Solanum lycopersicum: one gene and its partner. The protein of the gene in region 1 interacts with the protein of each later gene in a pairwise test. Links are inferred from orthologs where the notes say so. Each region holds a gene or a part of one and is shown in the gene's direction. Other genes may lie near its edges.

Evidence for each region. The genes of interacting proteins can lie anywhere in the genome.
Region 2: the proteins of protein LSD1 (region 1) and transcription factor SRM1-like interact in binary tests that used the Arabidopsis thaliana proteins (3 or more experiments, as listed by UniProt). The link is inferred for Solanum lycopersicum from reciprocal best matches to the Arabidopsis thaliana genes LSD1 and AT5G08520.

What each region holds. Positions count from the first base shown.
Region 1 is NC_090801.1:55,747,823-55,751,581, forward strand, and holds the start of protein LSD1, read left to right. Parts: upstream 1-1,292; 5' UTR 1,293-1,710; exon of another isoform or gene 1,711-1,993; intron 1,994-2,167; exon of another isoform or gene 2,168-2,170; 5' UTR 2,171-2,249; intron 2,250-2,412; 5' UTR 2,413-2,414; coding exon 2,415-2,526; intron 2,527-2,894; coding exon 2,895-3,005; intron 3,006-3,759.
Region 2 is NC_090803.1:3,079,570-3,083,328, forward strand, and holds the start of transcription factor SRM1-like, read left to right. Parts: upstream 1-1,553; 5' UTR 1,554-2,137; coding exon 2,138-2,523; intron 2,524-3,397; coding exon 3,398-3,759. UniProt on the Arabidopsis thaliana protein: Transcription activator that coordinates abscisic acid (ABA) biosynthesis and signaling-related genes via binding to the specific promoter motif 5'-(A/T)AACCAT-3'. Represses ABA-mediated salt (e.g. NaCl and KCl) stress tolerance.

The sequences.
Region 1 (3,759 bases):
ACTCTTACTAAGTTATTTTCAAGTTGCGGTGTGCAGATTCGATTCCCGTTATTTGACTTTTATTTTTTCTTTTCATTAAACACTTTTATAAAGTTTGAAAATAAGTATTTAATTTAAATTTAATAAGCAAAATCTATTTTTTTTCTTTTCATTGAAAATTTAAATAAAATTTAAAAGAAATTATTTAATTTAAAGTTAATAAGCAAATTTTATTTATTTATTTCATAATGCTACTAAAAGTGAAAATACTTTATATAAATTCTCTTTTAATATAACTCATTTGATTCTATTTTTTATTTTTCATTTCTCGTTGTTGGTCATCAGAGGTTTGTGAAATCTTGGAGTATAAAAGTGATTTTACTCTAAACTAAAATATCTTTTTTTTTGTTCGTTCACTCTTATGAGATAGATAAACGTAAACATTAAAGCTAAATTAGTATGTACTTTGATTTCAAAAATTTTGGTATATTTTAATTTTAAAAAATAATAATTAATATTTTGTAGTTTGATTTACAAAATTTAAAGACACTCATTTTTTAAATTATTTTTACGAGCTATAAAATTTTTAAATATCCTTCATAAAATTTTTAGCTAAGCTATTAATATATATATATTTATAATGTAATTTTACGACAAAAAATATCCAGTGTGACTGTAGACGAGGTACATATTTAAATGATAAATGAATTCTAGAATCAACTATTAAGAATTCTTATGGGATGACTAGAATACATATGATTAATCTTTAATAGAAAATTTTATGACAAATCTTGTGATTAAAATAATCTATCGTCATAATTTTTTTCTCTGTTGACAAAATCTCATCACTCGGTTCTATCTCTCTTTAATTTTTTAAATATTTATTTTTACGTAGAAATCTTTGATGTCAACAAAAGGAAAAATTATTAGAAAATATAAGTTAACGCGTTTGGATAAAATTTGACAAATAAATTTCAAAATTTACAGGAATACTCTCTGTTCCTTATTCAAAAGCCTTCTTCTTATTTAAAAAAAAAAAATAATAACTGTATTTTTAATTAATATTTATATTCTCTCATTTCAATTCATTTATTTTATTTTTATTTTAACACAATTTTTTTAAAAAATAACATTATTTTTTTCGAATCTCATTTCAATCTAATGCAGCGTAGCAATAGCAAAGTAAAAAACTTTGACTAGCTATGAACAAATATTCTTTTAAATTATGTGAATTGCGTATAAAATTAAATATGTAATTTTAATAGATAATATATTTAACTTCTATACATCACATATTAATTTCGGTAAAACATATATACGCATTATACCTTATCTAAAAATAGCTTCAGTTATAATTTTGCAATTTTAAATATATCATATAAAATTATAATTAAAAAATTATTTTATAAAAAATAAAATAAAATAAATAAATTGAAAGCGGAAGAATTTATTTTATTTTATTTTATTCGTAGACAGGTCAAAAGACATTTATTCCCAATATTTAACAAGAAGAAAAAAGGAGATGTAAGAAAAATATCCAAAAACCAATCTTTTGAAATCTTGAATTTACCCAATTTCTGTCGGAATTTTCGCTCAGATTTCCATTTGAATTCCAACCCATTTTCAGATAATCTCAAGTACCCTTCACTGTATATTTTTTTTTTTTCGTGTGTGGGGATATATATATTATAATAGAGGGGTACCCTATCTTCCAGATTTGTTCATTGACTGGTAAGAAGATTGCTTTTTTTTTCTTTATCCAATTTCTTGGGGGGTTTTCCCTTTTAATTTGGTAGGCTAAACATGATATTTTTTTTTACTTTTCAATCATGTTTGTGATGGGTGTAATTGATTGTGGATAAATTTTGGTTGGTGGGTAGGAAGAATTTGGGGCAAGGGCTCTCGTTTTGGTTAGCTCTAGAAATTACCTAGCTTTTTCTTCCTCTGCTGAGATTTGAACCTGGTTGATGAGCCACACTCATGGTTATGGGTGTTTGATTAAACAATTTTTTTTGTAAGATTTGTGTTTGACCCGTCTTAGCATGAAAAACTTGATATAGGAATTTTTCTTGTGTGTATAATCTGTGAATCCTGAGAAAAAAGATTGTAGCTTCAACCATTGGATGAATAATTATGAAAGGAACTTTCTTGAAGAAAAGTATTTATTGTTCTCTTTCATTTTGTCAAGCAGGAAGAATAAATTTACCTCACAGATCGGCAGAAATTAGCTCTTCTACCTCAGACGACTCGATATTCAAACAGATTGAAAGGTGAAACCTTTTTGTCTCAACAGAGATTGTTAAGACGAAGTTCATTGTTTCATGATGGACTTTTAGATTTATTACAATCTTGAGAACTGTAACTCAAAGATCATTTTGCAATTTAGTTTGTGAGCTTGCCATTACTATTTGGTTAATGTTTTTTGTTCGACAGATATGCAGAGTCAGTTGATGTGCAGTGGGTGCAGGACAATGCTTCTTTATCCCAGAGGAGCTTCTAATGTCTGCTGTGCAGTGTGCAATGCACTCACCCCTGTCCCACCACCTGGTATCTGTGCTTTTCTTGATTCTGATGTGGTTATAAGTACTTTTTTTTTTCTTTCAAATTTGTGTGGCTGATTTTTGGATTATGGCCCCCTTCCATGTTGATTACAAGTGTTGTTGCTAGAAGATTGTTGTTAGGAAAGAAAATTAGTGCACTTAAAAACATTTTGAGTATCTAATAGTAACGCTATGCTTGATGCTGACATGGTAAATAAAGCCATAAAGTGGGCTAGGTTTGGGGAGGCTTGGTGTATAGATCTGTTTGGATTGAGATGTAGTATTGTTTGTTGTTTTGCCTTGACATGGATTGAAGCGTAGTTGTTATTGTGTTCTGTTACTCGAAGGTGTTGCTTAAATTTTGATCTTTCTCAGGAATGGAAATGGCTCAATTGATATGTGGAGGCTGTCGTACATTACTTATGCATCCACGTGGAGCGAACAGTGTGAGATGCTCCTGCTGTCATACGGTGAACCTTGTCCCAGGTACAGTTTATAACATCCCTTCCCTTGATTTCGGAGACTAATGTTTGTCTGGTTATGAAAATCTAGTGTCTCTTTGCTGGAATGAAATGTTTCCTTCATTTGAACAGAATATGAATCTAACTTTTGATATTATCCACTTAAGCTTGACCTTCGGTTGTTTTCATTTATCATATGAGATCTTTTTCCTACATATTCATCAAAAGTTTATCATATGAGATCTCAAATTGAGATACCAGCATTTTTATTCTTGTATTACATCAGAAAAATCTGTTGGAAGAGTAACATTACTTTGATGATCTAACTATGTAATACATAAGTGAACATTTCGGTATGGTTGTGTTTTTAGTTGAACTATGTTATGACTTATGAGTTTAGAGTGTGGTCCCAGCTGAAATTCACAACTTTCGAGCACTTCAAGCTTTTGCCTGGGGGAAGGGAGCTGTATAAATTTATGTCTTTGTCAGACTTGGTGGAATATGGTTATGGGATCACCAAAAAGCTTCATTATTGTATGTTTGTGTTATGTTTTTTCCTATTGATGCTCAATTTATCAGAAGTTTTGCCTGACAGATAGGTGTAAGTCCAATTGATTTCTCTTGAGTGTGGTTATTCCTCGAAAATAATAACCTGATCTGGTGCTCTTTGTAAACTAGTAGCCAGTCACATAAGATATAGATATCTGCTGTTTAATCTTCTTATCAGCTTTACTTTTTGGTCATATCTGCTTCATTTTGCAGCACATCTGTAATTTGCA
Region 2 (3,759 bases), on another chromosome or scaffold:
GATATTTTGTGGTATGGTAAATTGATAACCATACTTTATTCAACTTGGACTAATATATACTTGTATAATAAAATTTTTATGACTTAAACAATATCCAAAAAAATATCTCAATTATATTATGCTATGTTGCATATTTGTTACATACTTCAATTTTTAAATATCAGATATCATATTAAAATATATAAAAAAAAAATTAAAATGTATATCATAATACAAAAATTATAATATTAAATTTTTTTAATATGATATAATAATTCGATATATATCATACCATGTCTCGATAAAAAGAAAAGGTTAGTTTTACTGCAGTAAGATGAGAAAGTGGGGCCTGTACTACTGGCAAAACAGTTGTTATCAACATGGGATTTTTGCCTGTTGATGATTATTTGAATACTGTTTTTTTTATTGGTTTCATTCATTGCAGTCCCTTTCACTTCTCTTTAATCAAATTACCATAATATATTCAATATAATTTTATGAATTGAATTTAGGAAATACGAACGACTTTAGAGTCTTATAAAGTATTTATCTGAACCTCTTAAAAAACACACGATACAGATATAAGGTAATCTTTTAAATATATATGTAAAGATTTTGAATTCGCTAAATATAAAGTAGAGACTGACTTAGTGGTACAAAAAATTTAAAATTCACGTCAAGTTCAAATTTCAAATGCAGACCTTAATACTACGTAATCATTATACACCAACTTCATTCTTTGGACATTTTCGTTGTCCTAAACATCTGCTACTGTTAAAGAAGATACAGTGTATGCCGTCCTTAGTCCTGTAGTATTATAATCCAAAATATCTCTTTTGCACAACTTATTCATTGTACTCACTACTATTTTTTAAGCATTTTCATTTCCTAAAAATAACATTAAATAAATCAATAAGTTCTTTCAAAACTCCACGAAATTTCACTTAGTCGCTCAATATCCGAATTTCATAACTTTAACTAACATTGAATTATGACATATCTTTTAAAAATACACGAACATTCAATATATTATTTTTGAAAAGAATGAACCACGTAACTATTAAATCTATCTATTTCCTTTATAGACCTCAAATATTCGAAATTCACAACCTTAATTATCATTGAATTATGACAGATCCTTTAAAAATGCACAAACATTCGATATATAATTTTTTAATAGTACCAACGATGTAGCTATTAAAGCTACTCCTCTCGTCTACTTCTAATTATCATGTTATACTTTTCGAAAGTCAATTTAACTAATCTTAAAAGTAAAATTATATTGAATTAATTTAATATTTTAAACAAAAAATTTAAAAATACTATACTTTATGATTTTTTTACATATTAATTTGATGAAAAAATATATCATAAAATATTAATCTAAATACTTATCTTTGATTCTAAAATAAAAATTATGACAATTAAAAATAGACGAACATTACATAAATGTTTGTAGTATTTTTCAGTCTTTCAATAAAGTTGGTGCGTTTTTTAATCAATAGGGTCACCAGTCCAAAAATGTCAAAATTTTGAATAATTATAAATAAAGTTGTGGTACCCAATAATATTTATTTGAGTTGCTCAACTGTATATTTTTCTATTTTTGGTACCCTTTTGTTTCTATTATTATTGACCTCATTGGTCTAATACATTGTTTCCAATCATAATTTTTTAATTGTTTTTAGTATAATATTTGTTAGGTTGAGATAAATTTAAATGACATAATATATATATTAGATTTTAAATTTGAGTTTAAATGCTCAAACAATTATTTAACTATTAAATTTTTAAATAATAAACACGTGAGCATACATGATACTATACACGTAGGATAAAAAATGATATGTAGGATGACATGTAGACATGTGTGTCTATTTGTTCAACTTTATATAAGTTTAAGTGTTTACTTGTGCACGCTGAAAGTTGAATGAGATAAAAGTGATTCGAAACCAAATTAAAGGTTATATTTATGTATTATGCTAATTTAAATCGAATTCATATAGTCGATCCCAACTAGCATGGCGTAGTTGTTGTTGCAGTGTACTGGTGTATATATATGTGCTTAGAAATGAATTTTCAAGATTTTTTTATGGGAATGCATAGTACCTGTTTGATAAAATGTCTCAGTGAAAAAGTTTGATAGTGAATTTCAAGAATGACAGTAGATAAATCAAGAAGCTCAATTTGGAGCAGAGAGCAAGATATAGAATTTGAGAATGCATTAGCAACTTATCCTGAGGATTGTGTAGATAGGTGGGAGAAAATTGCAGCTGATGTTCAAGGGAAAACCTTACAAGAGGTTAAGAATCATTACGAAATTTTACTCGATGATGTGAGTCGAATCGAGTCTGGTTATGTTCCTTTGCCTTGGTACAACTCTACTTTTGACAGGTCTTTGTGCAATGATGTTGGTGGTGAAAGAATTGGCAAGAAGAGTGGGGTTTCAGGGAGGCTAAATAGTGAGTCAAATGATGGAGGTAAATCTACTAAATTGGAGCAGGACCGGCGTAAAGGGGTTGCTTGGACGGAGGATGAGCACAGGTCAGTAACCGTTGAACTTCAGTTATTTCAATACAATATTAAGCTTGTTTATTGTATATTTGTTTGAGACAATTGAGGCTTGTTCAAGTGGTCGAGCACCTCCACCATCATTCGATAGGTTGAGGGTCGGGTAACGCTGGAGTGTAAGTCAGAACACTAACTCATGAGTTTCATACCTTGTGTTTGAGGTTGCTACATGTCATTTAGGAGAGTGCAGTGGTACTTTCTGTTTCTTTTTTCCCTTCATGTTTCAGTGAATATAATCTTATCAAACTTAGCTTTATGCGCCTTCTGCCGAAAACTTTCTTTGCCTGGAAACGTAGTGACTGTCGACTGTCGTTATGAGGGTGTACTTCATGAAGTAATAGGACTAACTAAGCTGTTGGCAGACATTTGTTAAACTGTATTATCCTGCTGTCACTTTCAGAAAATTCTCTTTCGATGGGAGATGTGATCGATAGAGAAACATTCTAAGTGATTCAGGGGTTTTCGCGTGTCTGAATGTTAAGATTAAAGATGTCTGTTTATGCATTAGTACAGTAATTACAGGCTGATGCATCTTTTCCTAATCTCTAGAGCTTTTTTTTTGTCCAATTCAAGCTACCTGCATTTTAATCGGACAATGGTTTTTCACTTGGATTCACCTTTCCATCCTAAACTGCGTGTTGTACTTGAAATTCCTGAAACTGGATCTTGTTTTGTAGCAATTGGACTTCTCATTTTGTTGGCTGTAAGAACCATGGCTGCAGAGAAAATAATTGAAGATGCATATTCTTGCTGACGTCTTCTGCATTCTAGATACCGTTTAACATCCTCCCGATATTTTGTACTGACAGAGTTTTGCTTCATTTGCTTTATCTTTGTTGGTATGCAGATTGTTCCTTCTTGGACTGGAAAAATATGGGAAAGGTGATTGGAGAAGTATCTCTCGAAACTTTGTTGTGACAAGAACTCCTACACAAGTGGCCAGTCATGCCCAAAAATATTTCATACGTTTAAACTCGATGAACAAGGACAGAAGACGAACAAGTATACATGACATTACTAGTGTTAATAACGGAGATGTCTCCGTACCTCGAGTTCCAATCACTGGCCAAACAATTGGTTCTTCTGGCAAATCCAACAAACTATCTCCAACAGCACCAATTGCTCCCATTGGAGTTGGTATATATGGAGCAACCACCATCGGACAACCAGTAACAGGACCAATGGTTAACGTAGTTGATCAGAGGCAGA